Linked DNA regions of Oreochromis niloticus. The main gene of each other region encodes a partner of the protein of the gene in region 3 in a complex. Links are inferred from orthologs where the notes say so. Each region holds a gene or a part of one and is shown on either strand. Other genes may lie near its edges. The genes, in order: thoc2, thoc6, alyref and chtopa.

The links.
Region 1: alyref (region 3) and thoc2 share a complex: the UniProt entries of both Homo sapiens proteins name them as parts of the transcription/export (TREX) complex. The link is inferred for Oreochromis niloticus from reciprocal best matches to the Homo sapiens genes ALYREF and THOC2.
Region 2: alyref (region 3) and thoc6 share a complex: the UniProt entries of both Homo sapiens proteins name them as parts of the transcription/export (TREX) complex. The link is inferred for Oreochromis niloticus from reciprocal best matches to the Homo sapiens genes ALYREF and THOC6.
Region 4: alyref (region 3) and chtopa share a complex: the UniProt entries of both Homo sapiens proteins name them as parts of the transcription/export (TREX) complex. The link is inferred for Oreochromis niloticus from reciprocal best matches to the Homo sapiens genes ALYREF and CHTOP.

Annotation. Positions count from the first base shown.
Region 1 is NC_031975.2:10,793,439-10,800,938, forward strand, and holds the start of thoc2 (THO complex subunit 2), read left to right. Parts: upstream 1-4,201; 5' UTR 4,202-4,291; coding exon 4,292-4,356; intron 4,357-6,867; coding exon 6,868-6,923; intron 6,924-7,500. Other genes in the region: stag2a (cohesin subunit SA-2a), read left to right, coding at 238-478, 601-711, 816-942, 1,306-1,383, 1,732-1,755. UniProt on the Homo sapiens protein: Component of the THO subcomplex of the TREX complex which is thought to couple mRNA transcription, processing and nuclear export, and which specifically associates with spliced mRNA and not with unspliced pre-mRNA.
Region 2 is NC_031969.2:34,256,110-34,263,814, forward strand, and holds the start of thoc6 (THO complex subunit 6 homolog), read right to left. Parts: upstream 3,290-7,705; 5' UTR 3,146-3,289; coding exon 3,131-3,145; intron 2,582-3,130; coding exon 2,490-2,581; intron 2,403-2,489; coding exon 2,338-2,402; intron 1,612-2,337; coding exon 1,508-1,611; intron 1,428-1,507; coding exon 1,390-1,427; intron 1,299-1,389; coding exon 1,250-1,298; intron 840-1,249; coding exon 768-839; intron 463-767; coding exon 360-462; intron 208-359; coding exon 158-207; intron 78-157; coding exon 15-77; intron 1-14. UniProt on the Homo sapiens protein: Component of the THO subcomplex of the TREX complex which is thought to couple mRNA transcription, processing and nuclear export, and which specifically associates with spliced mRNA and not with unspliced pre-mRNA.
Region 3 is NC_031969.2:13,796,890-13,804,612, reverse strand, and holds the start of alyref (THO complex subunit 4), read right to left. Parts: upstream 3,163-7,723; 5' UTR 3,020-3,162; coding exon 2,774-3,019; intron 1,362-2,773; coding exon 1,203-1,361; intron 1,111-1,202; coding exon 963-1,110; intron 867-962; coding exon 803-866; intron 718-802; coding exon 513-717; intron 418-512; coding exon 403-417; 3' UTR 1-402. Other genes in the region: mcrip1 (mapk-regulated corepressor-interacting protein 1), read right to left, coding at 7,527-7,591, 7,688-7,723. UniProt on the Homo sapiens protein: Functions as an mRNA export adapter; component of the transcription/export (TREX) complex which is thought to couple mRNA transcription, processing and nuclear export, and specifically associates with spliced mRNA and not with unspliced pre-mRNA.
Region 4 is NC_031985.2:35,541,689-35,549,243, forward strand, and holds the start of chtopa (chromatin target of PRMT1a), read right to left. Parts: upstream 3,263-7,555; 5' UTR 2,936-3,262; intron 2,303-2,935; 5' UTR 2,278-2,302; coding exon 2,213-2,277; intron 1,168-2,212; coding exon 1,017-1,167; intron 1-1,016. UniProt on the Homo sapiens protein: Plays an important role in the ligand-dependent activation of estrogen receptor target genes. May play a role in the silencing of fetal globin genes.

The DNA.
Region 1 (7,500 bases), on a different chromosome or scaffold from region 3:
CCGTCGTGAATTTGAATACGGTGCAGTATTCACCTTCAAACGTCACTCGTAAACATAAAAATGCGTCTCTCTCTTAGGGACATGTATTTCTCCTAGGATCCTCTTGCAAAATGTTTCATGTTAATTCTCATCACAGCCTGCCACTTTAATAATAAATCAAACAGCTCACTCATTGTTATGGCCACTGCGTGTGTTCAGTAAAATTCAAGGAGTGTAACAAATGATTTTCTCTGGCAGAAGAGAACAGCAGTAGCAGCAGCGATGCGGTTTGGATGAACCGTGAGCAGAATGTGCAAACGCCAGTGATGATGCATTCACCCCATCTAACTTCCACTGTACTGAGGGATCCAAAGAAAATGAGGCCAGAGGACAGCTTCACAGCCACGTTCACCATGCCAGCAGAGCAGCATCCCCATCAGCCTGTGCCCCCTCAGCAGCAGCAGCCACACCCTCAACACCAGACTACCATTGATTACAAGTAAAAAATATATGTATTACATTATTGCATACATGTCCGCAGAGGTTTTAGTTGCAGTACAGTATGTAAAGCCACTTTTTTAAAACTGTGGGAATTATGAAGTAATGAACCCTGTTCCACAGTACCCAGGTTACTTGGATGCTGACACAAAGGCAACAAGCTGAAGCCCGTCAGCAGCAAGAGCGGGTTAGCATGCACTACGCCAAGATGAGGAACCACATGCAGCAAGCAATGTAAGAAGTTCAACACTTAACTGTTTTTGGCCGAACTTTGAGCCAATAAAGAGTCTGACAAAAAGCAGTCTACTGACGTGTTATGTTTTTGTTACTCGTCACAGTCGTCGAGGCTCTGGGCTCATGGAGGATGATGAGGAGCCAATAGTGGAGGATGTGATGATGTCATCTGAAGACCGCTTGGAAGATATCAATGAGGGCATGGATTTTGACACAATGGACATCGATTTGGTAATTAAAAAAAACCAAAAACAATAGTCTAAATTTGTCTAGATGCATGTTTAATCATTCCAGTAAGGAAATCCTAGGAAGTTGATTCAGCTGATTTGGATGTGGCATTTTCAGCAGGAGATGAGTAATGAAACATTTCTCCCACTGAAAATGCAGCATCCAGATGAACTGAACCAAATTTCCGAGATAATCTGAATCATGTGTTAGCAGAGTAAGCATCCTTCAGTAGTCTGGTCATGCCAGTCCTTCCAATAAATAAATAATAAAAACAAATGTTGATGTTAAAATTTATAATTTTTTTAACTGTATATTTTTTTTTTTCATCTTGTGGAGTATTCTTCTAACTGAGCTGTTACCTTTCAGCCGGCATCAAAGAATCGCAGAGAAAGAACCGAACTGAAGCCAGATTACTTTGATCCATCTTCCATCATGGATGATTCGGTAGGAGTATTTCACTCCTTATAATAACTTTTTCACTGTGTTTTGGATGGCACTGGTTACAGTCCTTGAGATAAGTTCATGTTCTTGAAACGATTTTTCTTAACTGTTTGAGTGAATGCCCAAGTAAGCATGATAGATCAACGTACAGTTCACACATGCCTAGCCTTATTTGGTAGGAGTCCATTTTCTTGTTATTTATGACCATTTGATTAAAGAAACCCAAAGGATGAACCGCTTTAGGTGTAAAAACAGCCACATATTTCTCATCTGTTCATCCTGTACACTTAATATATGCTTGTTTTTATTTGGTTCTGAATTTTTAACACTGCTTTTTTCTTTTGCCTTTAGGTTCTCAATGTTTCAATGTTTTAATATGAAAAGGACAGCATGTCATCGAAATCCTGGGACGGTGAAATGACTCTTTATAAATGAGAGTGGACTGGACTAAGTAGGCTTGTGAGACACCAATGTTTGCCTCTTTAACACTTTGTTAAAACTTAGGAGTGCTTGAGCTTGGATTTGAATTTTATTCTGCTATTTTCACACACCGGATTTTGGTCACACTGCGGCAGAGATGTTTCAGTTTTTGTTCAGTTGCCCTAAAAAAACTTGATGCCAGCTATCACTTGGCTACACTTGTTATAATGTGTGAAGCGTTACAGGTACGGATATTGTGTGGCAGTTTGCATGGTGATGGGACAATAACAGGCCAAAATTCAATTGAATGATGTATACCTTTAAACTCTTTAAGTAGACGAAAAATGTCTGTAAATACATAGCGGCCAATATACAGGGAGGGTGAACACAATTTCATGAACACCAGAAAATATAATAGGCTTGCAGAATAACACTACTGTTTTGATGCTTGTAGTGTTCAGTTATTGTTGAACACTATAATGACCCTGCACTTTGTTACAGAGGTGGTAATTGAGCTGGATGGTTATTTTTAAGCTTTGCATCGAGAAACTATCTTAGGTGTAAACGAACCCCCTCTCTGATGCAATCTGAACATACACTGAACATATAATGTTTCATAATGGCAGCAGTTATTAAATGGCTACTGCGTTATATTGGAAGGGTGTCAGTGGTATTGTTGTTCACCTTCTGAACTTTTAAACTGTAGATTCTGGCATGGCATGTAGCCATATATCGAAACATGTACACAGTAAAGTATAATGTGAACTGGCGTGTCATACTGTTTAAAGGCCTTGCCACAAGTTATATATATACAGCATTCTCAGATTTCTTTGTGATGGTATTTTTTAGAGACATGTGTTCTGCTTTTATACCTTCTAGATAACTTTGATTTATAGATATTTTGTAATGACAATCAAATGTAAATTAATGGTTTCTATTAATCATGTTATTTCACATAGAGATTAAAATGATCCTTTTTAAAGGAAATGATTATGTTACTATAGATGTGGCCAGCTGTATTTTCTTTTCGTCTCTCTGTAGCGAACGGGTACAAACGTACCTCATTGCTCAGATGTAGTAATTTGACAAATTGAGGCTGCATCTAAAATTATTTTTTAATGTTGGAAGAAATCACAATGTTGTAAAATTTTGACTCGACCTCAAATATGTAATCTCTCCTATATATTAACTATTTTTTTCCACTGTATAGTATCTAGTAATATCTAATATTAGAGACATGCCATGATTGCAATCTTTAAAAGAAAGGATTTTTAAAATGGTTGAGAACGATGTGTGTTTGTTTGGTTTTGTTTTGTTTTTCCTATTTGCAGGTGTTCAGAAATAGTTTTTCAAACTGCCAGTTTGGTTGGTTTGCCACTGCTGCGTGTATAAGAGTTATAGAAATATTCTAAATTACAAAGCTTCTAAATTCTTTAGCCAACAATCATAGTATCAGAATTGTATATTATACAGTTACAAATGTGTAATATATTGTGAATCGGTGCTCATTTTATATTTACTGTTTCTTTTTGTGTGAAATTTTGGGGAATTGTCAAAGGAAAAGAATGTAAGTCTTTGACATTAATCTACTAATTTGTAAGTGCACACACAGTGCATTGTTTTTTTCTTTGTTTTACCGTGGATTGTTCCGGTATTTCCTCTGTGTATTGGCCTGGCTGGCAGAATCAGACTTTATGGAAGAAGGTGTAATCATATTGTAGCTGAAAATGAATACCTTATTTCCTCAGAGTGTCACTATAATCTGGAGAATCAAATCATCTGGTCTTAAACATTACCACATACATAATAACTATTCATGTTAGGCAAATGAGAAAAACACCTCTTAGACTTGCCTGTAAATTTACATGACTCATGTCATTTTGGAGCTTTTCTGTTTTGCATCAAACTGCTGAAAATGTGCAAACATCTGTACGTTTATACATATTTAAATATTTGCATATATTAAATTTGTGTTTATATTCTATTTACAAAGTGCCCATTGCATCCTTTACTGTTTGTATTTATGTCTGGAGATGTAACATGAACAGAATAAACCCTCTACAACTGTGTGATGATTTAATAACACAGCAATAAATATGATTTGATATGGTATTAGAACACCTGTACTGTAACTATAACTGGCTTTTACTGATGAAACATGAGTGCACCGGAGGATTATGGAAATCGCAGCTGTCCTGTAGTTTGTTATGTTTAGGTAGTTCTTAGAGAAAATGTTACCGGTAGATTTAAATTGGGTTGTTCAAGTGTCACGGGATTTTATTTAACTAAAAAAGTTAAATAGTACAACGTGGAGAATCAAACTTATTCCCAGACTACACGACCATCACCACCACTCCGTGTGAAAACCTCGGACGCACAGCTGTCGATGTCCCACAATGCAACAGTGATCTAGCAGCGGCGGCTAACCACCACATTTGACCCTGTGTGTGCCATGATGATAAACTAGACATCCGGGCTGTGTGCATGGAAGATGGCGACACTTACCCTTCCTGGTGAATGGATCAAAAACTGGGAAAAATCAGGAAAACATGAGTTGTGAGTGCATCTGAATTTCAACGCAGTGTTGAATTTTGCATTTGTTTACCCGTTGTTTGCGAATAAAAAGTATCAAGAATGACGTAGCTAGCATTCAAATATAAGGCCGGTCTTTAGGTGTGTTAGCTTTAGCTAAGCAGCTAAAAGATAAAGTGGCTTACAAGTGTCACTTACTTAAAAAACAATACGTGTAATTTAGTTGCTGAGTATTGAATATAGTTAATTTGGTAGACTTGTGAAAAGAAGACTTCAATGGCTTTGAACGTCACCGTGGAAGCTAATGCTGTCTGCTAGCAGTCAGGCTAGCTTTACGCTCCCATTTGATTCGCCGTCAATGTGTAAACACTATGGCTGTTAACGCTAAGCGAGCTAGCATACACATAGCATACTCTTCTGTTGGTTCGATATCGCACTATCCAGTAAACTGGCGTAAATGTACTTCCAAAGTTCAAGGAATTAGCAGCCATCAACTTCGAGCAGACAACCGAGAATCAGCTGGCGAGAAAACCCCTTGGGCAGCCTGTTATAAACCTTAACACTAAATAATCGTGTGGAGGGAAAACAACGGACATTGACAAAACGCTTTAGCAGATTAGCCGTAACGTTAGCTACACTAATTGTTGTGTTGAATTCCTTTTCGTATGCTTTAATGTTTAGGCGGGGAAGCCTGGAAGAATAAAGATGACGCTTTTTGATTCAGTGTAACAAAACGTATCATTTGACGATATATTTTTTTAGGAGATGAAGATTTTAATCATAATGTTAACCTAGCTACAGCTAACGTCATACTTTTCTTAGCTGGCGTTAATTTCACCTAGATAATGGTGTAAGATAGCCGCTGTACGGTTTGCATAGAGACTGTGGACATAGCCAAGGTTATTCATCGATGCACATCTGTGCGCTTGGTGCTGTATAAAGGCATCTCGATTACCAGAGTCAACTTTATCACTAACATTACATGTCAAACTTAATAATTTAAGCAGTACTGTAAAAGCCTCTCCCAACACCTTGATGTACGGCGACTGTTATCTTAAAATTAGTTTCTTTAGAACAAAAAATACAAGAAAAACGTTGCGTGAATGATAATTTCACGCATTAATTTTGTGCGCTGCCATCGCCTTTGAGCTGAGACACAATAGGCTCATCCACAGTACTAGCTACGATTATGTGCTGTAGGCCTTACATATTTAAGAAAGGCCTGCAGTGGGATGCACCAACTCAAACTCTCGTTCCACTATCTTGTGTCAATAACTGATAGCACTTTAACTGGAAATTATGCCAAACAGTTGCAACTACGGGGTAACCATTAAAGTATTTCCATCAAGGCAAATTACCCGTTATACCAAAGCTGAGTACATTGCAGTGGAAGTGTTATTTGGCAGCACAGTGAGATGCCATCCTCTGTGATGACAGGCAGTAAATGAAAAGGTGGATTTCGTGTTGATACTAAAAGTATCACATTGTTATTACTTAACCAATATTTTTGACCTTATAATTCATTGATATAAAACATTGTGGACCTCTGGATCTACATCTTTTTTTTTTTTTAATATCATTTAGTCATACCAGTTGAGTTGCAATTAACCAGTCCCAGAGGCCAGGGTTTAGTTTAAAGTGGTGAAAATGTTGTCAGCCTCATTATACAAATAGCAGCTTTGCTTCGTTTGACCTTAGAGGCTCCGGCAATCCAAGGTGTCCGCTTGCTGTAACTCTGACTTTTTGTAGCATTTGCACTTCTTGTTCACAGTGTGTTTAGCACCTGACAAGCTGTTATCTCTAACAATTAAGCTGATGGACTGCGTTGAGTTTCTTACAGAGGAAAGGAGCTAGTGTGCTCCAGTGTGTGTAATTATACCTTTTAATGAATGGGATGTGCATGGCAGAACGTGCTCGATTAGTCTGCCTTTGTCATCACTACTTCTGATATTTTAATACCAGTCAAGCTGTCAACTGGGTGAACCGTAAGTCTTTCAATCCACCAGCTAAGCTATTGGACTAGTCACAGTCAGTTTAAGAGGGAGAAACATGGCACTCAGTAAATACTAACTATAAATCTGTGTGAGTGTTTGGCAACAGAAAAGGTAAGGGTTGTCCCGCCCAAAGATTCAGTCAGTAATCAATCCAGCAAACATAAGAGCCAGTGCTATTGTTATATGCACACACAGCAGTTTCAGCATAAATACTCGTGTAGTGACAATGTAGGTAATATAATATTTCTTGAGTTACTACATTGATAATTAGGATAAACCTAAAGCTTTATCCGGTGTAATGTTAAGACTGGATTAAGGCGTAAATAATGCAATAGTGTTATGTGATCTAAAAATATAACTTGGAGGAAGTGAACGGGATATTACAAGAATAATGTTATGTAGAAATTGTTGGCACGGAACAAATGGATTTAAATAAGTTTTCATGCATCCTGGTTCGTTCATTGAGCTTTATAAGGCTTTTCATCATCATGTTTTTGTACTCTAGTTTAATTTAAAAAAGAATTCTCTCTTTACTTCATAGTGTACAACTCTGCAAAGACCTTACAGAGAAAGCAGATCATGGAAGTGAAATTAAAGGTGAGTTGAGTGTGACCCTCGTTCCTTTAATAATATTCTTGTATGCATCTGTCACTGTATTTTAGCTTGCTCTTCATGCACACACGTCCATTTTGGGAATTCTCATAGTTTCCAAAAAGAATGCAAAAGGTTTAAAATTATTTACCAAAAATAGATTTAAAAAATAAAATCCATGAATTTCAGAAGTGCTGTCTAATTTTTGAAACACGGTACTATTCATGTTTAACAATGGCTGTAAGGTAGAAGGGAATTAAGCAGCCCATGTGGAGATTTCTGTTTGGTGTGTGCTGACACATGTCACAAAATTTCAGATAACACTGTAATCAAGTGATTTTATATCCAAAAGGTCAAATTTAACTAGGGCTGTTCGATATAACGATATATATCGGATGACGATACAAAAACATCTGTTGTTTCCTATTACGCTATCGTTTGTTTCGTGGCGTCATAAAATAAACTGTTTACAGCAATATTTTTTTCATCGTTTTGATGCTCACTGTAGTGGATATATTAATTAAAGTTTTCGCTTTCTCTTATATTTAATATAACCACACTATGGACGGACAAACGCCTGTTT
Region 2 (7,705 bases), about 20 Mb from region 3:
AAACGTTTTCTCACCATCCAGTCGGAGTCGGTGGTCACGCAGCTGATCCATTTACCGTACTGAGGCCGCGCACACACCTGAAACACACACCTCTGTTTATCCTCAGATAAACAGGAAAATACACCACCACAGGACGTCTGTCCTTTCTGGCACTCACCTCGTACTTGTAGACCTCGATGCAGTGAACGCACTGACCCGTCCTGCTGTCTGTAACAGCAACACATCACCTTCATCATCACTTCCATCACCATAATCCTCATCATCACTAATGTCATCACATCACCATCACCATCATCCTCACCATCACCATCCTCATCCTCACCATCCTCCTCACAGTCCCATGTTTCCTGTGAACTCACCCCACACCCTCACTGCTCCGTCCTCTCCCCCCGACAGGATCTCCGCCTCCCTCTCTCTTACAGTCACGCAGTGGACGTAGTCCGAGTGACCCTGAAGGACGGTCTGAAGACACAACACAAACCCGTCACCATGGAAACACAGAACTCCCCCAACAGATGCTGCCATGAAAATCAGATTGAACAGGTGTGAAACAGTTCAGTGCACACACGGACGTCCAAGTAAAAAAACTGCAGTTCCTCTGACGTCCAGCAGAGGCTCCAGCAGTGAATCGGTCCCCACAAACTCACACGTTAACAGCAGAAGTCATCATTCACACACACACACGGATGACAGTGACATGCTGTAAGGAGAAAAATACCTCAGCGGTTATAACATGAAACGTGGAGTCAGTTTTGTTCCCCACTCACCTTGAACACACCGTTTTCCAGGTCCATGACATGGATGTTGTTATCGCCTCCTCCAACCACCAGGCTGTTATCCTGACACAGAAACACAACTCCTTATGACACATTGGAGCGACACGTCCGACAGAAACACAAATATCCTCATTATCATCAGAAAAAAGGCCCAAAAATGGAACTAGCCCCCCAGTGCATGCTCCATCCCTTCTAAAAACACCAAATTAAATAACATTCAAACTTAAAAAAGAGTAAAGAGTAAAAAGAAGTGTTTAAAAAGTCAGAATAATAAAAGGACTTCAATAAAAAATACAAAAACAAACAAAGGGGTTTAGTAAACCAGCGGCTCTGACGATGACGATGAGGAGGATACTCTTCATACTGTCACAGGTTTGTGTTTTATTTCAGGTTCCAGTCTTTTCTGTTCGTAAAGGTGGGCCAGCTTTAATGCGATGAAGAAAAGCAGAGGAGAGAGGTGGAGGTGTACTCACTCTGGAGTTGATGGTCATGGAGTTGATCTCTGGGATCTCCAGGCTGGATCTGTAAGGAGACAGCAGATGTTTGAGTGAGGAAGGAGACAGGAGGCAGACGGGAAGCAGACAGGAGGCAGGGGTGGAAGGCTGGTTCTCACTTGTAGTTCGGTCTTCGGGTCCACAGAGGTTTGACGTTCTGAGGAAGCAGAAACACAAAAATCAGGCAAACTCGTTTTTCCTCTCCGTCTGTGTGTCCCTGAAGGCGTTCTAGGTTACCTTCTTGGTGAGCTCGCTCCAGCTCCAGGCGCTGATCTCTCCATTTCCCGCGCTCAGCAGGTGGCAGTCAGTGGACAGAAGGGAAAAGACCGGCCCCTCATGAGCTGCAGGACAACAAGACCAAAAAGGAATCTGTGAGGACAGTGTGTCCAAAATCAACACGGACACAATGAACGGCCACTAAAGTCCCAATGAAACCATAACTCCCCACAAAGCTGCAATAAAAATCACAATAAAATGAGCCTCAAAAATATTGACTCACAAACACACCTGGAACTCCACCTGGTGGTGTAAACAGGAACTACAGCATTATTTTTTACAGTGTGTCATATTTTTACTGTTGGTGAGCTGCGTCGAGCTTAGACTCAGAGGTTTCTCTTTCTACCTGTCTAAATCACCATGGTAACTGATGCTGAAGCCCTCACCTGGTCAGACGCAGGCTTAATCCTGAGTTTTGGTTTAAAATCAGCTGGAACCTTCACGTTTTCACTGATTCTTTATTTCTAGTGTCTTCAGCATGACGCAGATGTTTGTCACCAAAAGGACTGAACGACGCTTCAGCGCCTCACAGGAGCGTCCAGTGTGACAGGATGTTTAGCGCTCATGTGCAGGAAACAGATAAATGTTTGGTTCTATCACAGAAACAAAAGGCTGGAAAGGTGAGTGTGTTTCATGTGAGTGAGCTCAGACTTCCTCGGTTCTAATCACGTTGTTGTTTTTTCTGCCACTGTTCGAGTGCAGGTGTAAACACCAACAGGTACGCCTGTGATGTCCTCGCCATCCTGCAGAGGCTTCGTGGGTTTAGGGTGACCTTTGACCCGAACACTCACCTGTGAAGGTCAGAACGGGTTTCTGGTTGAGCGCGGTGGAGTCTGGACTCAGAGCTGCAGACAAACTGGAAAAAACAGCATTGAGAAATGAGAGGTGTGGCCCTTCAGTGCGAGTGAGCGCAGGCGAGTCGAACCAGGTGCGTTTGACTCACCTGAACACTGCGATCTCGCCGTAGTTGTTTCCAGCTGCCAGGAAGCGACCGCAGGGAGAGAAACTCTGAGAGAACACGGACATGTGCAGCAGCTGCAGACACAGACAGGTGCGTTAGTCCAAGCACCACAACACAGGTGAACAACCACACCTGTGCAGGGACATCTGGGTAACTTAAAGTTACCACGTGGTGCAGGACATGCAGTCATGTGACGTCACCTTTATTCGCCTGAGTGTAAACATTCCAATCAGCTTTAAATAAGCAGTTTGTGAATAAACGTGCATGTATCTATAAACAGATGACTCGCAGCAAAGGTTGTTACTAATACTGATCACTTCCGGTCAGTAAATCTATCGCACATCACATTCACCTCAACTTTTTAAAAAGCGACTAAAATTTAAATTCTTAAATTTAAATTCTTAAATTTTAGTTAAAGACTCGAATTTAAGTTCAGTGGAATTTTAAACGGAGTTCGTTTTGAGTCCGTTTTCCGGTAAAACAGAGAAAACCTGAAACTAATCTGAGCTCGTTCACTTCTTTGTTGATTTTTCTATCGTTCAGCACGAAGCTCGCTTTACTCTCAAACATCAGCCGGTTTCTCTATTTCCTGTTTCCGCTGAGATAAACGTTGTAAGCCTCACCTCCACGGGACCCATGCTGCTCACACAAACTCTCCGAGCTCCTTTAAGGCGAACACGGCACAAAACACCGAAACAGAAGCAAAGGAACCAAAACTCAAACAGAGGAGGGAAAGAGCGGACCAGGGCGAAGGAATGTGACGTCACCAACACTAGCCCCGAGGATTCTGGGAGATGTATTTTAGAAGCGACAAGCCTCTTCTCCTCAGCGGCTTGTCCTCCTCTGCACATCCTCCTTCACTGCATCCACGAACCTTCACTGAGCTCTTCCTCTTCTCTTCCTGTCATCAGCTTCATCATCATCGTTCTCCCTCCTCTGCACACGTACAGACCGTCTCAGCCTCCCTCCTCCCTCCTGCAGATCACAGAGACGCCTGCCTGGTCTCATCAGCCATCCCGTCGATCAGCATTGCAAACAAGCAGCGGGTCAGAGCAGATCCCTGATCTACTCTCACCTCCACCTTCAACCACCTCACCGCTGTCCTCATACGTGTGCTGCACCACCCTCACATACTTCTTCATGGTTCCTCGTGCAGTACCGTCAATCATCTGCTTCCTCTGATCCACAAACACACAGAAGCTCCTTCTCATCTAAAATTCTCCATCAGCACTAACATCACAGCTCTTCCTCAGCATGAAGCCACACTGCTGCTCGACAATCATCACCTAGCTTCAACATCTCTGTTGCACATGTTGGTGGTGTGGCTCACCAGTGTCATCCTCTCTCCTAGACGTCTCCACACCTGCACAGGTACACTGTACTGCCAAAAGTATTCACTCGCCAAATCATTGAATTCAGGTGTCCCAGTCACCTCCATGACCACAGGTGTTTAAAGTCAGCAGCTAGGCATGCAGAAAGAATGTGTGAAAGCATGGCTCGCTCTCAGGAGCTCAGGGAACTCCATCGTGGCGCTATCATAGGATGCCACCTGTGCAACAGGTCCAGCTGTGGAATTTCCTCACAACTTAACATTCCACAGTCAGCTGTTAGTGGAATTATAACAAAGTGGAAACAACTGGGAACACCAACAGCTCAGCCATGAAGTGGTCAACCGTGGTGCGAGGATGCGAGGCGCAGAGTGCACAGGGGTCGCTGACTCTCTGCAGAGTCAGTCACTACAGACCTCCAAACGTCATGTGGCCTTCAGATGAGCTTAACATCTGAATGCAGTGGTGTAAACCACGCCACTACTGGACTCTAGAACAATGGCGGCGTGTTCCCCGGACTGACCAATCATGCTTCTCCATCTGGCGATCTGATGGACGAGTCTGGGTTTGGCGGTTGCCAGGACAACGGTACTTGTCTGACTGCGCTGTGTAAAGTTTGGTGGAGGGGGGTTATGGTGTGGGGTGTTCTTCAGCAGTCTTCGTGCTTCAGCAGACCGAGACACTGTGGACACCTTCATGTTCCCAGTATGTGGGAACAGTGTGGGGATGGCTCCTTCCTGTTCCCACATGACTGCACACCAGTGCACGAAGAAAAGTCCATAAAGACATGGACGAGCCGGTTTGGTGTGGGAGAACCAGACTGGGCTGCACAGAGTCCTGACCTCAGCCTGATCCAACACCTTTGGGACCAATCAGAGCGGAGGCTGTGAGCCAGGCCTTCTCCTCCAACATCACTGTGACCTCACACATGTGCTTCTGGAAGAACGATCAACACTTCCCATAAACACTCCTGAACCTGTGGAAATCCTTCCAGGAGACGCACAGCTGCACACAGACATATTCACTGGAGTTCATGGCAGAACGATGGATCTCATCCGGACCAGTCTCTTTCCACTCTCCACCCTCGTCTTAGCTGCTCTCAGAGTTATCATAGTTTTATACTCTCAAATGATTTTGTATTTTTATTTCATTTTGAGTTTTTAATTCACTTTAGTTTCCAGAGCACATTTTCTTGTGTCGGTTCAGTTCGGTTCACAGCACAAAAAATCATCAGCTGCCCCCTGCCCTCCTTGTCTGCTGTCTACAACTCCTGTTGTCTCAGCAGGGCCAGAAACATCTCAAAGGACACTACCCATCCGGCTACCATCTTTTCAACCTACTGCCGTCTGGCAGGCGCTTCAGATCCATTCAGGCCAGGACAAACAGACTCAGGGGCAGCCATCAGCATACTCAACTCAAACTTGCACAAAAGTGATCTGCACTGAAATATCATCAATTCTCTGCCTGTCTGTCTCTGTCATCTAGTACTGTACTGTGTATTTATATTTATATTAAGTGTATAGTTAAATTATTGTATAGTTTTTATAATGTGCTAAAGCACTTGTGCACTTTTATAGCACTGTTTCTAATCTCATTATACTATGTATAATGACAATAAAGGCTTTCAGTGGCTCTGACCTCACATGTCATGAAGACGCTGGAGAGACTCGTCCTAAAACATCTGCGGCTGCTGGTGGAGCCTTGGCTGGACCCCCTGCAGTTTGCTTATCAACCTCGTATCGGTGTGGAGGATGCCATCATCTACCTGCTGGACCAGGCTTATTCTCATCTGGACATTGTTGGGAGCACTGTGAGGGTCATGTTCTTTGACTTCTCCAGTGCTTTTAACACGATCAGACCATCACTGCTGGGGAATAAGCTCACGGAAATGCAGGTGGACGCCCCACTGGTAGGTTGGATTACGGACTATTTAACAAGTCGACCACAGCATGTCCGACTGAAGAGCTGCCGCTCAGATAACATCCTGAGCAGCACAGGGGCGCCACAGGGGACGGTCCTATCACCCTTCCTTTTCACCCTCTACACATCTGACTTCAGGTACAAGTCTCAGTCATGCCATCTGCAGAAATTCTCAGATGACTCTGCCATTGTGGGCTGTATCAGGGATGGACAGGAGGAGGAGTACAGGAGTGTGGTGGACAGCTTTGTCGAGTGGTGTGAGCTAAACCACCTACAACTTAATATCACAAAGACAAAGGAACTGATTATGGACTTTAGGAAGCAGGCTCCTCCTCCTACCCCTGTCACCATCAGAGGGGCTGACGTGGAGATCGTTGAGGACTACCGGTACCTGGGGGTACACTTGGACTGTAAACTGGACTGGACCAAGAACACCAATGCTATCTACAAAAAAGGGCAGAGTCGGCTTTTCCTACTGAGGCGGCTCAGGTCCTTCAATGTTGGTAGGAAAATCCTGACCATGTTCTATCACTCGGTGTTGGAGAGCGTTGTGTTCTTTGCAGCTGTGTGCTGGGGAAGTGGGGTGAAGACAGCTGATGCCAACAGGCTGAACAAACCGATTAGAAAGGCCGGTTCTGTCCTGGGTGTCAGACTTGAGAACCTGGAGGAGGTGTCTGAGAGGAGAATGCTAAAAAAGCTTCTTTCTATCATGGACAACCCCTCCCACCCCATGCACGCCCCCATGATGGACCATCGGAGCAAACGCGGCAAAAGACTCATTGCCCCGAAATGCAGAACTGACCGCCACAGGAAATCCTTTGTACCGGTGGCAATAAGACTGTTTAACTCTTCCTCACTCTGTAGGTGATTCTCCTGAGACTATTACCTATGTTATTCTGTTCCCTCCCAGACCGTGCAATATTACCCAAGAGTACTTATTGAATATTTGTTTTCATCCCCCCATCATACGCTGCTACTCCCTTCATTCTATTGCACAATACTTTGTCACTTTCTAGAATCGCCTGCACTGATAGTTTAGTTATTTATTCACCAGGATATAGTTATGTATATTACTTTGTTAGAGTTATCCGATTATTTGTCTTGCACTATCCTACTGTATATTACTGTACACTATTCTTATTGTATATATATTGTATATCTTATATCTATTTCATCTGTGCCTCGGTCTCTCCTGCTGCTTTGAGCATGTACATGACAAAAGAATTTCCCTCGGGATAAATAAAGTTGTTCTTATTCTTATTCAATTCAATTCAAGTTTTTCTTAGTTTTGGTCTTTCTAAGTATTATTATTGGCATGAGTCAGTGCAGGTATTAAAATAAAACAGGATTTTTTTAATTTTTTTTTTTTACCAAACTTACAAACACATTTCTTCTCTATTATTGTTTTATTTTGTTTTATTTTGTTTTGCAAGTTTACAAAATAATTCAATTTTTACTTGAGTTGATTAAAATGATTTTTCACACTTGGCTTCAGTTAGCTGTGATAACCTCGGCTGACCTCACTTCCTCCATCCTGCTCTCTTGCTTCATTCATCAGCTCCACACAGAGCTCCTTCCATCTTTCCGTCTCTATCTTCACCTTACCACAGGTGCTCGTTAACCTGACCATCTCATCTTTACGATGTGCATGTTTGCTCTGACATCAGATGGACTTCCTGATAAAACCCTCCTAGTTTATCTGAACCAGGACTACACTGGCTTGTGGTCCCCGTGTGGCTGGGAGACATTGTGATATTTTGAAAAATAATAAATATAAGACAACAAAAGGGAGATAAACAGTGTTCAATCTTCATAATGTGGGAAATTTTGTACAAAAAAGGGAAAAAGTGCCGATAAAATGTTGTTTCAGTTTAAAACATTTTGGTATTTGCCACCATCTCACCAGTGCAGCTGAATCATGTCGATTAGATCTGATTAGACTTTTATTGT
Region 3 (7,723 bases):
ACATTTTATAGTGAACTTGTACACAAGTAGACATATGACCAGAAAACAAAAACTGGGACATTTAATGTGGTTAATATGCACTGCAGGTTTTTATTACAAGTGTTTAACTACAGGGTAGAAGAACAAACTGGGGAAACCCAGATCCAGAACCTACAGTCGAAACCATTTTTTCCATCAGAAAAGAAAACAAACAAACAAACAAACAAAAAAAAAAAAAAAAAAAAAATTATCACAAACAAAACTGGTAAAAAACACTTTGGAGCATTTAAAACAAGAGGTGGGGCAATATTTTCAATCACATTAGAAGACAACCAAGTGTAAAATATTCTGCACATTTGTAACAGCCACCCTTCTGTGCAGACAGGAAGGGACGACGACCCTCAGGAGCTCGTTTTTACGTTCTTAGCTGGTGTCCATCTGAGAAAACAAACCAAGAGTTAATTAGACATCTGAGAAAATGGACAATCTGTTACTCAGAAGAAATCATATTTACAAGTTTCAGGTAAACATACCCTGGCATTGTAGGCATCTAACTGGGCATCGAGCTCCTCTGCTGACAGCTGCTGCTTGCTACTACTACCACCACCACGGCCGCCTCGTCCACGTCCTCTAGGGCCACCTGCACCACGCCCTCCACGGCCTCTCTGCATGCCTCCAAAGCCGCCACCACCACGACTTCTGTTCATCATGCCTCCTCCGCCGCCGCCTCTGTTCAGACTGAAGATAAAGGAGCCTTTACACATCAAGTCATCAATACATTTGCTGCCCCCCCCTCCCAAACAAAAAAGAAATATCAACCTACCCCTGCATTGGCCGTCTCTGTGTGTCGATCTGTGATGTGACGAGCTGAATGTTCATAGGGCGCCCTAAAAACACAAACACCATGAACCTCAAAATCTTTACAGAAGCAGCAAACTTTAAGAAACTGTTTGCACTGGCAGGTCAAAGAACGTAAGACTTACCATCCAGTGGGATGCCATTGTATTGCTTCATGGCCTTGAGCGCATCTGCCCTCCTTTCAAAGTGGACATCTGCAGTTCCCAAGCTTCTTCCTGATCGGTCGTAATGAACTGCAGCCTTTTTCAGAGTTCCAAACTCAGCAAAAAGTTCCTAACAAACACACGTCCAAAACAATTGGTCCTCTTGATCCACACTGTTAAACACACCAACCCAGGCCAAGAATCACAAACAACTTAAAATACCTGAATATCTGCATCTGAGACCCCAAAGTCGAGATTGGACACGAGGAGCTTCCCTCCAGTTTCCACGCCAGCTCCTCCTCCACCTCCAGCAGCACCATTGAAGCCGCTGAAGCCGTTGTCGAACATGTCGTGCTGCCACTTATCTGGAAGCTGTTTAGGCTGCAACAGACGAAAGAGAACGCACCTGCTGACTTCAGGATCCCCTTGCCCTCTGTCATTCACAGAGTCCACACGGCTGGGTGTTGGGGCAAGCAGGGGCTCCACTTCCAACATGGTCAGGGTGCTCAGGTCCCCCAAGAGGATCCCCACTATTCCCTGCCCACCCCATCACTACAAGCAAGTGAATCACTTCGGACAGATAAGGACATACACAAGACAACTTAATATATATATAAAAAAAATTAAAAGGCAAGGGGATGTCTTGTATACAACCTGTACATGCATACATTTTGGATACATTTTTTTTTTTTTTAAAGTACATGTCTTTTCAATGACCAAGTTCAAATAGAGCCAACTGATTTTATTATATCCCACTCCCACCCATAACCTCTACATTAAAACCCAAACAACCTCCCATGCTAGCTACAAAAATTGCCCACTGTTTTCTTGCCAGCTGCACCTCCACCAGAGGCCCTCCAGATATGATCCTCAGGGACACAGGGGGTCGCCATCTGAAGCAGCGTTGCCTCCAGCGTTGCACCATGTTTTCCAGGCCCGCCCAAGAGTTCTTTACCAAGCCACGAAAAGGGCTTTCATGAAGGGGGAAATGTCCATAACACGAGAGTGGGGATGGGGATGTAAACAAACCGAAAGGGGGCCCAGCTATCCCCCCATCAATGAGCGTGGATTATCTGAGCGTCCATTTTGAGACACGCCATTTTGACTGGGGCTTTGTTTAGATATTCATTCACACTTAAGGAGTGATGATTTGCCTTAACATGAAAATTATCAGAGAGGAGGTTTAAAGTCCACTGATCCATCCAAAAAGCAACAGCCACACCGGTTGAATAGCCACCAAAATGGGCCTTGCTGAGAAGAGCGTCAGCCACTCCCGAACAAAAGGCCGTCTGGTCGCTGCGCTGGGACTTGACCAAAAAAAAAAAAAAAAAGAAGAATTTTGCTCCCACGATAGTAGCGTGCGGGTAGAATTTCTCGTTGATGCGATTTCCTTTCACCATCAATTTCACTCAAGAGGTGGAAAAGCACCGATATGGACCTTGGACGACTAGCTCTAAATTAAGGTGCTTGATTCAAAATGGCGCCGCTTCGGCCTTTACGATCCAACTTTAGCTAGTTAGCCAACACGGCTAACACAACTGCTCTCTCCAAAAAGGGCTCCTCTTGAAAAAGGATGCAACACATATGGATTGTGGGAGAAGGGACACAATATGCATACAACTTCCATTAATGCATAGCCGCCAATTATAGAGCTCTCCTCCGAAGGGAAAACTCGGCGGTTAGCAATCATTTTATTCGCTTGACTAGCAAGCTGGCTAGGGGATTAGCTACAGAACGACGTTAACCAGGCATTTTCAGCTTTGTCGAAGGCTTTTCCTTTAACTTTCTCATACCCTGCTGTAAGGCGTTGGTCTGCCTCTAGCGCGTTTCGGGATCTGTCGGTTCCTCATCGGGCCGGATCCGCCGCCTCGGCCTCCAAATCCTCCACCGCTGACTCCGAGACGCCCGGGGCCTCCTCCTCCACGGCCGCCGCCACCTGCGCCTCCGCGGCCTCGACCTCTGCCGCCCCGGCCTCCACCTCTCTGCTGCCTGTTCTGCTTGATAATGTCGTCTAGAGACATATCCATTTTATCGGTCATTATGCTGCCCCAATAATGCTAAACTGTTAATGAAATAGTTAAAAAAAAAAGTACAGCCCTAGACTTCAATGGTCCCGCTCCCTGCCCTTTCCTCTCTCCCCGACGACAAAACACAATGAGCAGACGGTTGCTGAAAAACAGTTTCGTTGCGTATCATACGTAGACAAACGTCAATGCGTAGTAACATCTTTCTGTCCAATCAGATGTTGGTACAAAGTTACCAACAGGGAATTGCTATTGTTTTGCTCCATAGATGAGTATCGGTAAGCAATCAACAGTATCGTCCGAAACAATGAAGCAATCAACAGTATCGTCCGAAACAATGAATCTACAATACAATGAATCTACAATTATTTAAATAATCTAAATATTAAATAAATATTAAATAAAATAAATTTACAGTTTCACTGTAAATTTCATTAGTTTGAGTTGTAGTTGAAAGTCTTCATTACACAAACTACTACAGCTATGTGTGTATAAAATAACTGAAATAAAAGAAAACAAAAAAGAAAGAAAATGTAACACTGTAAGTCAGTTTGAACAAATATGTACATATTTGTGGTCATAACCGATCGTCATGGTAATTTTTTTGACTTTTAATGATTTCTGTGAACTAACGTTTTCCAGTGTGGAATGATTGTAAAGCACAGGCTAAACTATAGACATACACCCCACAATTGTCCAAACTGCACCTAAGCCAGACACTGCCTGCTGACAGTTACATTGCACAAAGTGTTTGGAATAACGAAGAAGTAGGACCACTTCCAAATCACCTCACTTCACCTAAAGTCAGTGGCTAAGTGGTTGAAACCTGGACACATTTGGTGTTTCAACAGGAAGATGATCCCAAACATACATCAAAACTGGTTTTGGAATGGATAAACATAAAATCCAACTGTATGGATGACAATCTTTAACACGGTGCTTTGAATAAAAGCACCATTTTCAACATTGCTTTTTTTAAAGCTTAGTAAACAGCTATTTTACCCCCTGGATCAATTTCATAATTTTTCCACATTTAGAAATAGAAAATGCATTGAGTCATATAGTATCCAATTTTCAGGCGTTGATAGTGTGATAACAGCTGCAGCTACACAGAGCTGTGCAGGTTGAGATTACCGCACTGACAACTAGGTTTGGATATTTTAACAATGCCTGCATTCATCCAGTCCAATTCAATAAATTATTTAAGACCCTTTTACCCTTGGCTTAGTTATCCCTTGCTGGCACACTCTGTCAGTTCAGACACAGTTATCTATCACCTATCCATCGATATTTTTAACCACATATCCAGTTCAAGGTCGAGCAGAGCTGAAAGTGGGCAAGGGGTGGGGTACACCATGCACAGGGTAACGTGGAAACACAAATAACCATTTACACCTTTTTAACTACAGCCAGTTTAGAATCACCATTTGATGTTTGGAGATTTGAAGCACTCAGCTAAGTTAAACTAATCAGCAAGATAGAATTATCTACTCCACTAAATTAAACAAACAGCTTCTTGATGAATGGGGAAACCTTTCCACAGACACACTCCGGTATTTAGTAGAAAGCCTTCCCAGAATGTGGAAGCTGCGAAATGGATCAGTATATAATGAGATTTGTTAAAAAAGCTCCTATAGGTGTAATATAAATGATAATGGACTGGTTCTTATATTCAGGGGTGCACATAAGGTGCGCATTCGCTGTCAAAATAAAGGACGCGCACCAGATAAGAAGTTGAAACGCGCGTTTGCGTACATATAAAAGGCACTGTTTTTGTCCGCTAGAGTGGGATTTTCACGGCATATTCTGCACCACATCTCTGTGCGTTCATCATTTGTTTGAAGCCAGCTCACCTCCTGCAACCACTTTTCCAAGAATACGCGCTTCTTTTGCGGTTTGGACTCCTTCTGACATTTCTTTGGAGGTGGAGGAACGCCAAAGTAATTGCTTAAAGGAGCTTGCTTCTTCGACATCTTTAAGAGTTCTAAATAAATGTCTGTCCTCCTCCAGAAAATCATATGTACGCAAACGCACGTTGCAACTTCTTATCTGGTGCGTGTCTTTTATTTTGACAGCACATGCACCCCTGCTTATATAGTGCTTTTCTACGCTAATTGAGCCTACTTGAGCACAACATCTCTCATTCACCCATTCATACAAGGATTTATTTCTATGCTTTATCTAACTCCTACGTGCTTTCTATCAAACACTGACACACGTTTGCACTTCGATAGATGTATCAAGCCACCAATCTTCTGATCCACCTCCTGAGCTACGGCCACCCCAGTACTATTCTACATATACACTATAATCCTTGTCTGTCTTAACACACATGTGAACTTGAGTGACAGCCCAATTTTAATTCAGAGGGTTTAATATGATGTTGGCCCACACTTCAACTCTTCTGGGAAGACTTTCCACACAATTTAGGGGTGTTTATGGGAGTTTTGGACCATTCTTCCCAAGCGCAAATTGTCAGGTCAGACACTAATGTTGGATGAGAAGTCTTGTCTTGCAGTATCTAATTCATGTCAAAGATATTCTGTTGGGTTGAGGGCAGGACTCTGTGCAGGCTAGTCAAGTTCTTGCTCATCCATGTCTTTATAGATCTTGCTTTGTGGTCATGTTGAAACAGGAAGGGGCCATCCACCAAACTGTTGCCCAAAATGTCTTGGTATGCTGAAACAACAATTTTTTCACTGGAACTAAGGGGCCGAACCCAGCTACTAAAAATCAGCAACACACCTTAATTCCCCCTCTACCAAACTTTACATCTGGCAAAATACAGTCAGAAAAGTATTGGTGTCCTGGCAACTTCCAAACCCATTCTTGCCTATCGGATTTCCAGACAGTAAAGCGTGGTTCATCACCCCAGAGAACACGTCTCGACTGCTCTAGAGTCCAGTGGTGGCGAGCTTTGCACGACTGAATCCAACACTCTGCACTTGGTGATGTAAGGTCTGGATGCAGCTGTTTCCATGGAAACCCATTCCATGTAGCTCTCTGTACACTGTCCTTCTAATCTGAATGAGGTCTGTAGTTGTTGACTTCTGTGCGTTATGTTCCTCAGCATCTGCTAACCCCACTCTGTAATTTTACATGTGCTACCACTTTGTGGCTGAGTTGCTGTTGTTCCCAGTCGTCTCCACTTTTTTATAATACCACTAAAAGTTGACTATTTAGTAGTGGCAAAATTTCACGAGTGGATTTGTTGCACAGGTTGCATCCCATCACTGTACCACTCAGCTCCTTAGAGTAACTCATTCTTTCACAAACGTTTGTAGAAGCAGTCTGTAAGCCTTGGTGCTTGACTTTATATACCTGTGGCCATGGAAGTGATTGGAACACCTGAATTCCAGTGATCTGGAAGGTTGAGTGAATACATTTGTCATTATAGTGTATATATTGTTTAAGTCTGCCTTAAAAAGGAGGTTCTGAGAAATATCAGTCCTCTAAAATGGTCATATATGTATGATTTGATAGTAAGATCACCCAACAAGGTCAAGCCTGGTTGTCTTTACCCTTGGAGTATCATCTGCTCCGCCCTACATGTTGACTGTGCGTCAAGTGCCTTGCAAAGGGATACATCTAAATTGCTGACTTTTTAAATATTGCATCTGACAAATAACAAAATACTATAATAATTAAAAAGAAAAACAATTAAAACAATACCGATACTGGTGAAAACAAAAGCTAACCGAACATTTTTGAACTTCAACTCTGGAAACTAGCTGAAAATAAACTGGATCAAAAACTAATTACAACTCATGGCCAATACAAAACTAGAATTCTAATGTGATAAAAATACAGTGATGTATTTATGTAGAATAAGTACAACTACAAGTAATGTAAAAGTCTTTTTATTCAACATTTTGTTTCAAGGCTTTGGGAAAGAAGAGGGGAATGGGAGGGGATTTATCAATACTTGGGGAGGCCCTCTACTTAATAAAGTCCGACCAAGGGCAAGAAAATGTATAATAAAAATGTTGGCTTTGTTTACACTCTGTTTTGGCTTTGAAAACTCGCCCATAAAGTGTGTGTGTGTGAATGTTCAATTACTTCTACACTTGCTTAATTAATGATAAACAAAATAAAACTACAAATAAGAAGTCAGCCCTTTCATATTTTCCTCCCATGTCATATTAGTAGTAGTAGTAGCGTCGCGTTTAAGACTGAAGTCTTTTGCGTCCTGTGGAGACAAAAAAAAAGCTGAGGTACAAAGTCGGCAAATTTTGGATGAATCTTTGCATCGGTCCCGTCCACATATCGAATGCGACTGGAAAAAACAGGAACTGAGAGAAGAGGGAAGAAATCCAACTTTTTCTTTTTAGTCAGTCTTCGAGGGTGAAGGAAGAGAAGCTTTGCTATGGTCCAGAGTTTAGAAATTAGATTTGCATTCTGTATTAGACTGACCAACAACGATAACTTTCTGGCTGACAAGAGGGCTGACGGAGGAAAAGTTCTCGAGGATAATGTATGGGAGAAAGAAAAAAAAAAAGCAATGGGATAATTAAGAGAAAGACTAGGACTTCTTGGAGTCTTGTGTGTTGCGTTTTTTGAGGTCACTCAGGTCCACTGGTGTGAAAGCTGCAAGAACAAAAGGAAACGAGTAGTTAATCAGCACGTCCTTTACCGATTTCATCTTTTAGTGTGATGGAAAAATAAACATTTGCTGGAACTTACAATGTAGATTAGGATTTGGGTTCTTCTCGACATACT
Region 4 (7,555 bases), on a different chromosome or scaffold from region 3:
TTCCGTTTTCGTTTAAAAAATAAAAAACAATCCCGTCCAAATTTATATGCAAAAAACTAATTTAATAGCTTTCGAAAACATGCCAAAGCAACAGGTGGCAATATAATCAGGGGTGCACATAAGTGGTCCGCAGGTGCGCATTCGCTGTCAAAATAAAAGACGCGCACCGGATAAGAAGTTGCAACGTGCGTTTGCGTACATATAAAAGGGACTGTTTTTGTCCGCTCGAGTGGGATTTCCACGGCATATTCTGCACCACATCTCTGTGTGTTCATCATTTGTTTGAAGCCAGCTCACCTCCTGCAACCACTTTTCTGAGAGTACGCTCTTCTTTTGCGGTTCGGACTCCTTCTGACATTTCTTTGGAGGTGGAGGAACACCAAAGTAATTGCTTAAAGGAGCTTCTTTGACATCTTTAAGAGTTCTAAACAAATGTCTGTCCTCCTCCAGAAAATCTTATGTACGCAAACGCGCGTTGCAACTTCTTATCCAGTGCGCGTCTTTTATTTTGACAGCGAATGCGCACCTGCGGACCACTTATGTGCACCCCTGGATACAATCCTAACCCTGTAGAAATGTTGGCCAATCAGAAGTCGAGCAGCCTGGGAGGGAAAGTGTAAACAAAGATGTCTTTCTAAACTGTGTTTGTATACGTAAGCATGTAAAAACTGCAGATACTCAGATTAACAGCAACAGTATTTTGTCAACATCATTGTAGAAATTCATCTCATGTAAACAATAACGTGTGATGCCAAAAAAGGTGCACACCGTTGGCGTTGAGTGACTAAATCTCTGTTTTCTTCGTCCACACATAAACACAAAAACAGTTTTTAATAATCTGTTTTCAGTGATGCAAAACGCTGTGTACGTGTGGACCAAAGGCCCAAACGCACAGAAGAAACTGCGTTTTCAAAAATACCCATGTACATGTGGACGTAGCCTTAATTTGGGTTAAACATACTCAGATCGAACCAACAGTGCCACGGACACCAATTTCACCTGAACGTCGCGCTCACCTGCTTGTGATTCAGAGCAGCTTGCACCGAAGGCCGGTTCTCCATCTGCTGGGCCAGCCGACGATTGCGGGCGCTAGCCAAATGCTGCTGTTGCATGGTGGCTCGAATGCTTACCGCAGTGGGTTGCTTGTTCTTCAGCATATTAGTGAAGCTTTAGAGGTGGGAGGGAAAAAGAAGGAGGAAGTAAAAGAAGGGGACAGGGGATATACAGAGGAGGAGGAAGCAGGGTTCCACATCATGTCATTTCTCATATGGATGATCGTGGCAGCTCTTTAGTCATGTTAGACTTTGTTCCACTTGTTGGCACTTATTTTCTCTCTCGATCATATGATATTCCAGAGTTACTTACACTTGACTTTAGCCCGTGTTGTAAAATTAACACAAGGAGAAAAAACAGTTGAAAGCAGACTTCAGGACAGGAGAGAGAAAGTTTCAGAAGAAGAGCCACAATTGCCACTTACAAGCCTCCAGCTGACACTGCGGGGATGTCATCATGTCGCAGCAGCAGAGGCCAGGGCATGAGGTGTGCTTTGGCACCCAGCCACTTACAGGATGGACCGTGACTTTATTTAAACCACCAAGTGGTCCGGAACTAGGGAATTGGTGGGGAAGGGGTAGTCCCTTGTCACGTCCAAGCTAGGACTGAGTACTCTGAGCAGGGAAAGGAGGAAAGAAGAAGAAGACAGACATGGTAGAACATGAGGAGATAAAAAGCTTCACTTTGACTGGTCTGAGAGAGAAAAAGATGAGAGGCAGAAAAGACAAGATGCCCCATCTCAGTGACTTAGCTTTAGCTCTCTGCTCTCCTGCCCCATTTAATGGTGTATACATGACGTATACAGTGCTGTTTAAACAGGGAGCCAGCGTGCCAAGGTATTTACAGGACGGTGGTCTGGTTCTGCGTATGCTTTACCAACCACGACCGCTACAGTCACCCCTCATCTACATGTGTGTGCTGCTCACACAAAACATTTGGCCTGGGCAAGCCCCTTCTGCCCCACACTTCATTTACATGTAACACAAACAAGGACAGGGCCAACAGAGTTGAATGAGCAGCGCACACACGGGGAACAGCCAGAGCTGCATCCATAACAGGTTTGGTCCCAACAGTAGGTTTCCGTAGAGAGTATTAGAACCTTCACAAGCCAAGGCTGGCAGCAGGTGACTAATTTCTGACAGGGTGCGTAGCCTCTCACCGCTCATTTAGGGACACTTTGGTGGTGCTTTTCAGGACAACTTTTTGGGAGGCAGCTGCACTCATTTTGAAAGACTTTGATTGTAGAGTCCTGGAAACAGAAAAGACAGAACTTGTTTCACCTCCCTCTCTTTTACACATAATGTATGCACTACTACTAGATGTTAAATGACCACTTTTAACCCTGGAGAAGCCATGGGGTCAAATTTGACCCCATGGCTTCCCTAGAAAACCAATGGGGTCGGATCTGACCCCATGGGTTCTCCAGGGTTAAATCGCTATTGCAAGGAATTTGCTGTAATTAACATCTACAGCTGTTACATGTGTGTTTAACAGAGAGATTATTTTGAGGACTACACACAGTTTCACACAAATCCTACTGGGATCGTTTAAGTAACAGTCCTCCTGGTAGGAGTAACACACGACCCCCTCCCACCCAAGCTAAACTTCAGACCAGCCCGACTGCCAGTTTGGTTGACTTAGCAAAGTTTTCAACTTCTTTAAACTCTTTTCTGTGTCAACGGCATTTAAAATGATCGATTCTTTAGGGGAAATTTTTAATTTGAACACAATTATCGATCACGTCCGCTGGAAAAATGAAATGTTTAGCGAGCGCCCATCCGGTTATAACAAACTGCAGAGACAAGAACAAGGAGTAACGATTCCGCCTCGTCTTCGCTAACATGTCGTTTATCGACGAATAACAACTTTATCTCATACTTACAGCGGATTCTGCGTTGGTAGAGAAATGCCTCAAAGCTAGCTAAGGTTAGCTTTAGCAGCACAGCGGCTTCGTATAGGTGTCCTTGTATCCTGTTTAAATACAATTTACCATATACTAACTCCCCACGCACGCGCGGCTTGAAAAAGCGCGTGAGTAAGCGACCCTATATCAAACTCTCCCAGGAATATTGTAAAACGTGGGAATCGAGACTCCTCCGCGATCCGAAAGCCTAAAATGGTGCTCCTGGCTACACTGATGGGAAGAAAATGGAGAGGTTCTTGTGACGCTGACGTCACGAGGACACGACTTCCTGTCCGCTCGTGCTGGTTCAGTAAAATGGCAGCTACAGCTTTAGTCGAAGGTTCTTCTGGTAACGATGCTGTTGCCGAGGGTTTGCTCGACCTCCTGAGACCAGCAATACAGCAGCTCGATCTGCATGTAAACTCGGTCAGGTAATCAGCTTCCTCGTTAGATTAGACTGCAAACCGTGCTAGCTTTTTCTCTCCAATGTATTGACAGTCAGCTGACTTTCCCCGTCAGACTGATTGTTTTGTTGTTCAGTTTTCTCTGGACTCACGTGACTATTCGTTTCTTTGCAGAAAAAGCCAAGTGGAATTAAGAGAACATATAGACGGTCTGGCCACAGGTAAAGTCCTGCATGAAGTCCTTCAAATATAGCATCAGCTATAAAAGATTCATAAATAACGTGCTGGTTTTTTCAGAGTTATGCAGGATAAACGAACATCAGAAGGTGGCTCTGGACCTGGACCCATATGTAAAGAAGTTGCTGAATGCGAGGCGTAGAGTTGTGCTAGTAAACAACATACTGCAGAACGCTCAGGTCGGTACCAGTCTGTAGCTGGGCTTCTTAAAGCCCCCGAGAAATTGTATCACATGTTCTGCCCCTGTCAGCATGCCTGTACAGCCTTGGTCACATCAGACATTAGGCAAGAAATTAGTCTAATGTCATATTGAGCCCCGATAAGGGCGGTACCAGAGAACAGTGAGTGGGGATCACGTGTGCCACCTGAGTAGAACATGTGAGGTAGAGTAACTATGGAAGTTGTCTGAATTTGATTCTCCTGACATTGCCCGACTTCATCCACATGTTCATGTACAGCTGTAACTGCAGGGTGTCTGTGTGATGTCATTGCCACAGCACAGTTATTAGGTTTAGGGGACACTAGTTTTTTCACATAGGGCTGGGTAGGTTTGGATAACTTTTTGAAATCATCAGGTTATCTTTGCAAAATATTTAAATTTGTTTAATACTCTGAAACATGCAAGTGTGACAAATATGCAACAAATGGGGCAAATAATTGTTTTACTCCATTATAATTGTCTAGGTAGACTCTGCAGTGCACACATGCTCAAGGTAGACGAGATTGACTTTAAGAAAAATAAGTATAATAAGAACCAGTTTCCTGGCCCTGATGTTTACTGGTGTACATGTCTGTAAGCAAGTAGAATCCCAGCCTTAGAAAGTAGCAAGTGAACATAGTGGAGCATTTAGCAGCTCTAGACCCAGATATTTATCTTTAGCAGATTCAAGCTGAGTTAAAAGGAAGTTGTTGTTGTGTTTATAGCTGGACCAACAACTCCAGATAGAGTTAAAGCTGCTTTAAAACTTTTGTACAGCAAGAAATGAAGAAGTTCTTTACTTTATGTTTTTGTGATTATATAAATTAAACTGAATTGAATTGACTGCTTCTGTACCAGTGCACCTTTACAACTATTTATACTGCTGCCAATTATACACTAGCACTGGTTGTATTACTACCACTGTACAACTTCCACTATAATAAATAATAATTACTGCTATTAATAATATTGCTACCATCACCAGCGCTACAAATACTGTATGAAGAGACTTGTAATTCCGATTTCCATGGCGACCACAGATATACTAACTATTCAAGTTGCCTCAAAATGGTGTAAAAACAATACAGAAACAACATTACACAACCTGAGCTTTCTTTGTCCAGGAACGTCTGAGGCGGCTCAACCACAACGTGGCCAAAGAGACGGCGCGGAGGAAGACAATACTGGAGACCTCGGGCGTCTTTGCTTCCCGCTCACCTAGTAAACCATGAACCTCACCTTGAACCTCCTTCTGCTCCACACAGCAAATACTGTGAGCTATTTTGATCAGCAGCAAAGGATGATTGTGATTATAGGAAGCTAAAAAACAGGAGGGGCCAGTCTTCCTTTGACATTTGCTTGTCTTTTTGTTTAATACCTTGCTGATGTTCTGCACTGCTTTTGTCACAGTGAAATTCCAAGCTGCTGTCTGCTTACCATTTGACAACTTCAGAGTACGGGCTTGCAATACAGTGGAGATATTTATGTAATAATTCTAATGCACTCAATAAATAGATACACTATGTGGACAAAACTATAGGAGCCACAGCTCTTAATCTTTTGATGTTTTTATTCCCACATCTGTGTGAAATCAATCACTGGCTTTGCAACCTGCCTTCACAAACATTTTTGAAAGAATGGGTCATTGTAGAGAGCTCACTGTATGGCAGTGTGGAAGTGTACAAGACGCCACTGTTGGTGAATTTTCACTCCAAGATAATACACAATCAACTGGAAGTGGTATTCACTGGTGTGAAAAGTGGAAGATTGTACATCCTGAGAAGGAAAGGAAGCACTGGTGAATCCAGCAACACAAAAAGACCCGGACGGCCACAGAAGACAGCAGTGATGGATGATCACAGAATCATTTCCATGGTGAAAAGAAACCCCATCACAACCATGTGAACAACACTCTCCAGGAGAGGTTGCTGTATCCATGTCCAAGTCTACCATAAAGAGAAGACTGCATGAACATAAATACAGAGGGTTCACTGCAAGGTGCAGGCTACCCATAAGCCTTAAGAATAGAAAGGCTAGATTGGACTTTGATTAAGAAAAAGAATTGAAAAAGCCAGCACAGTTGTGAAAAAACATCCTTTGGACAGACAAAACCAAGATCAACCTCTACCAGAATGATGACAAGAAAAAAAGTATGACGAAGGTGTGGAGCAGCTCATGATCAGAAACATACCACATCATCTGTAAAACACAGGGGAGGCAGTGTGATGGCTCGGGTGTGCATGGCTGCCAGTGGCACTGGGACACTGGTGTTTATTAATGATGTGACACAGGACAGAGGCAGCAGAATGAACTCTGAGGTGTTCAGAGACAGCCTGTCTGCTCACATCCAGCTAAGTGCAGTCAAATTGAATGTTTCATAGTACAGATGGACAATGACCCCAAACAACCCAGGAGTTTATTAAAGAAAAACAGTGGGATATTCTTAAATGACCAAGTCAGTCATGATCCTAACCCAGCTGAGCATTTCACTTACTGAAGACTAAACCTGAGACAGAAAGGCCCACAAACAAACAGCAACTGAAAGCTGCTGCAGTAACGGCCTGGCAGAGCATTAAAAAGGAGGAAACCATCATCTGGTGATGTCATGAGTCCAAGACTTCAGGCTGTCAGTGTCAGCAGAGGGTTTTCAACCAAGTATTAGAAATGAACATTTTATTTTCAGTTATTTAATTTGTCCAATTACTTTTGAGCCCCTGAAATGAAGCGATTGTGTTTTAAAAAAAGATCCAGGTCCTTTCATTTTTATGCAATCGTTTTGTTCAACCCACTGAATTAAAGCTGAAAGTCTGCACTTCAGCTGCATCCAAGTTAATTGAAAATTCATTGTGGTGAATTACAGAACCAAAATCAGAAAAAGTTGTTACAGTTCCCTGTCCAGGTGTAATATGTAGGTGGCTCAGAACTTTTGTCCATATAATGTACAATAAATACTTCTATCCATGACTGCAATGTTAGAAATGTTGCTCCTGTTACAACATGCAAGAGAGAAGAAGATACTTTACCTGTGATGTTATGAACAGTTTCTGTGGTTGCTGCTGGAGCCACTGGCACATGGAGGTCATTTGCTTCAGGACCTTCTCCCATGCAACATGACTAATGTTGTTGAAAGGGTGTATTTTAATCCAAACATTTTCCTAAAATAAACTCTCTTTTTTTTCCCTTTTTTTTTTTTTTACTAAAACCTGAAGATAATGTAAATTATTATAAGACTTTGTATCAGAAAAGCCCCAAATGTAGACTACTGGCTATCTGTCATGATGTGATCTGAGTAGTTTGTTTCGCTGCCTCTTATTTGTCCTGCAGTTAAAAAGCACAAGCTTGTCCCCTCTTAATTTTGTGGCTGTTTAATATCCACATTTGCCCTGGAGTAGTTTCAAAGCAGATGCGTATTGTTAATAGAGTACTTAGAGGGACTGTTTTGTATAAATCAGAGTAGAAACTTGCCTACTTGTGGAAAGTAAATTCTCTGCACATGTTGAATTGTATTTTCAGCTATAGACACATTAAATACTTAAAGATACTTAAATGCAAATGTACCTGTAGAGCATAGTGTCTTTAGTTGTCTGTCATTTTTACCAAATCGTCACCGCATTAGGAGAAATCCCTCGTCTTCACAGATCTGACATTTTGTAAATGGTAACAAAACTGTTCTCTCTTTGGAGTGTGAATGTCAACATTTCACTGAGTCCATTCCTTCTGCAACAATCTCAACACCTCTGCCTTGTTATTGGGAGACAG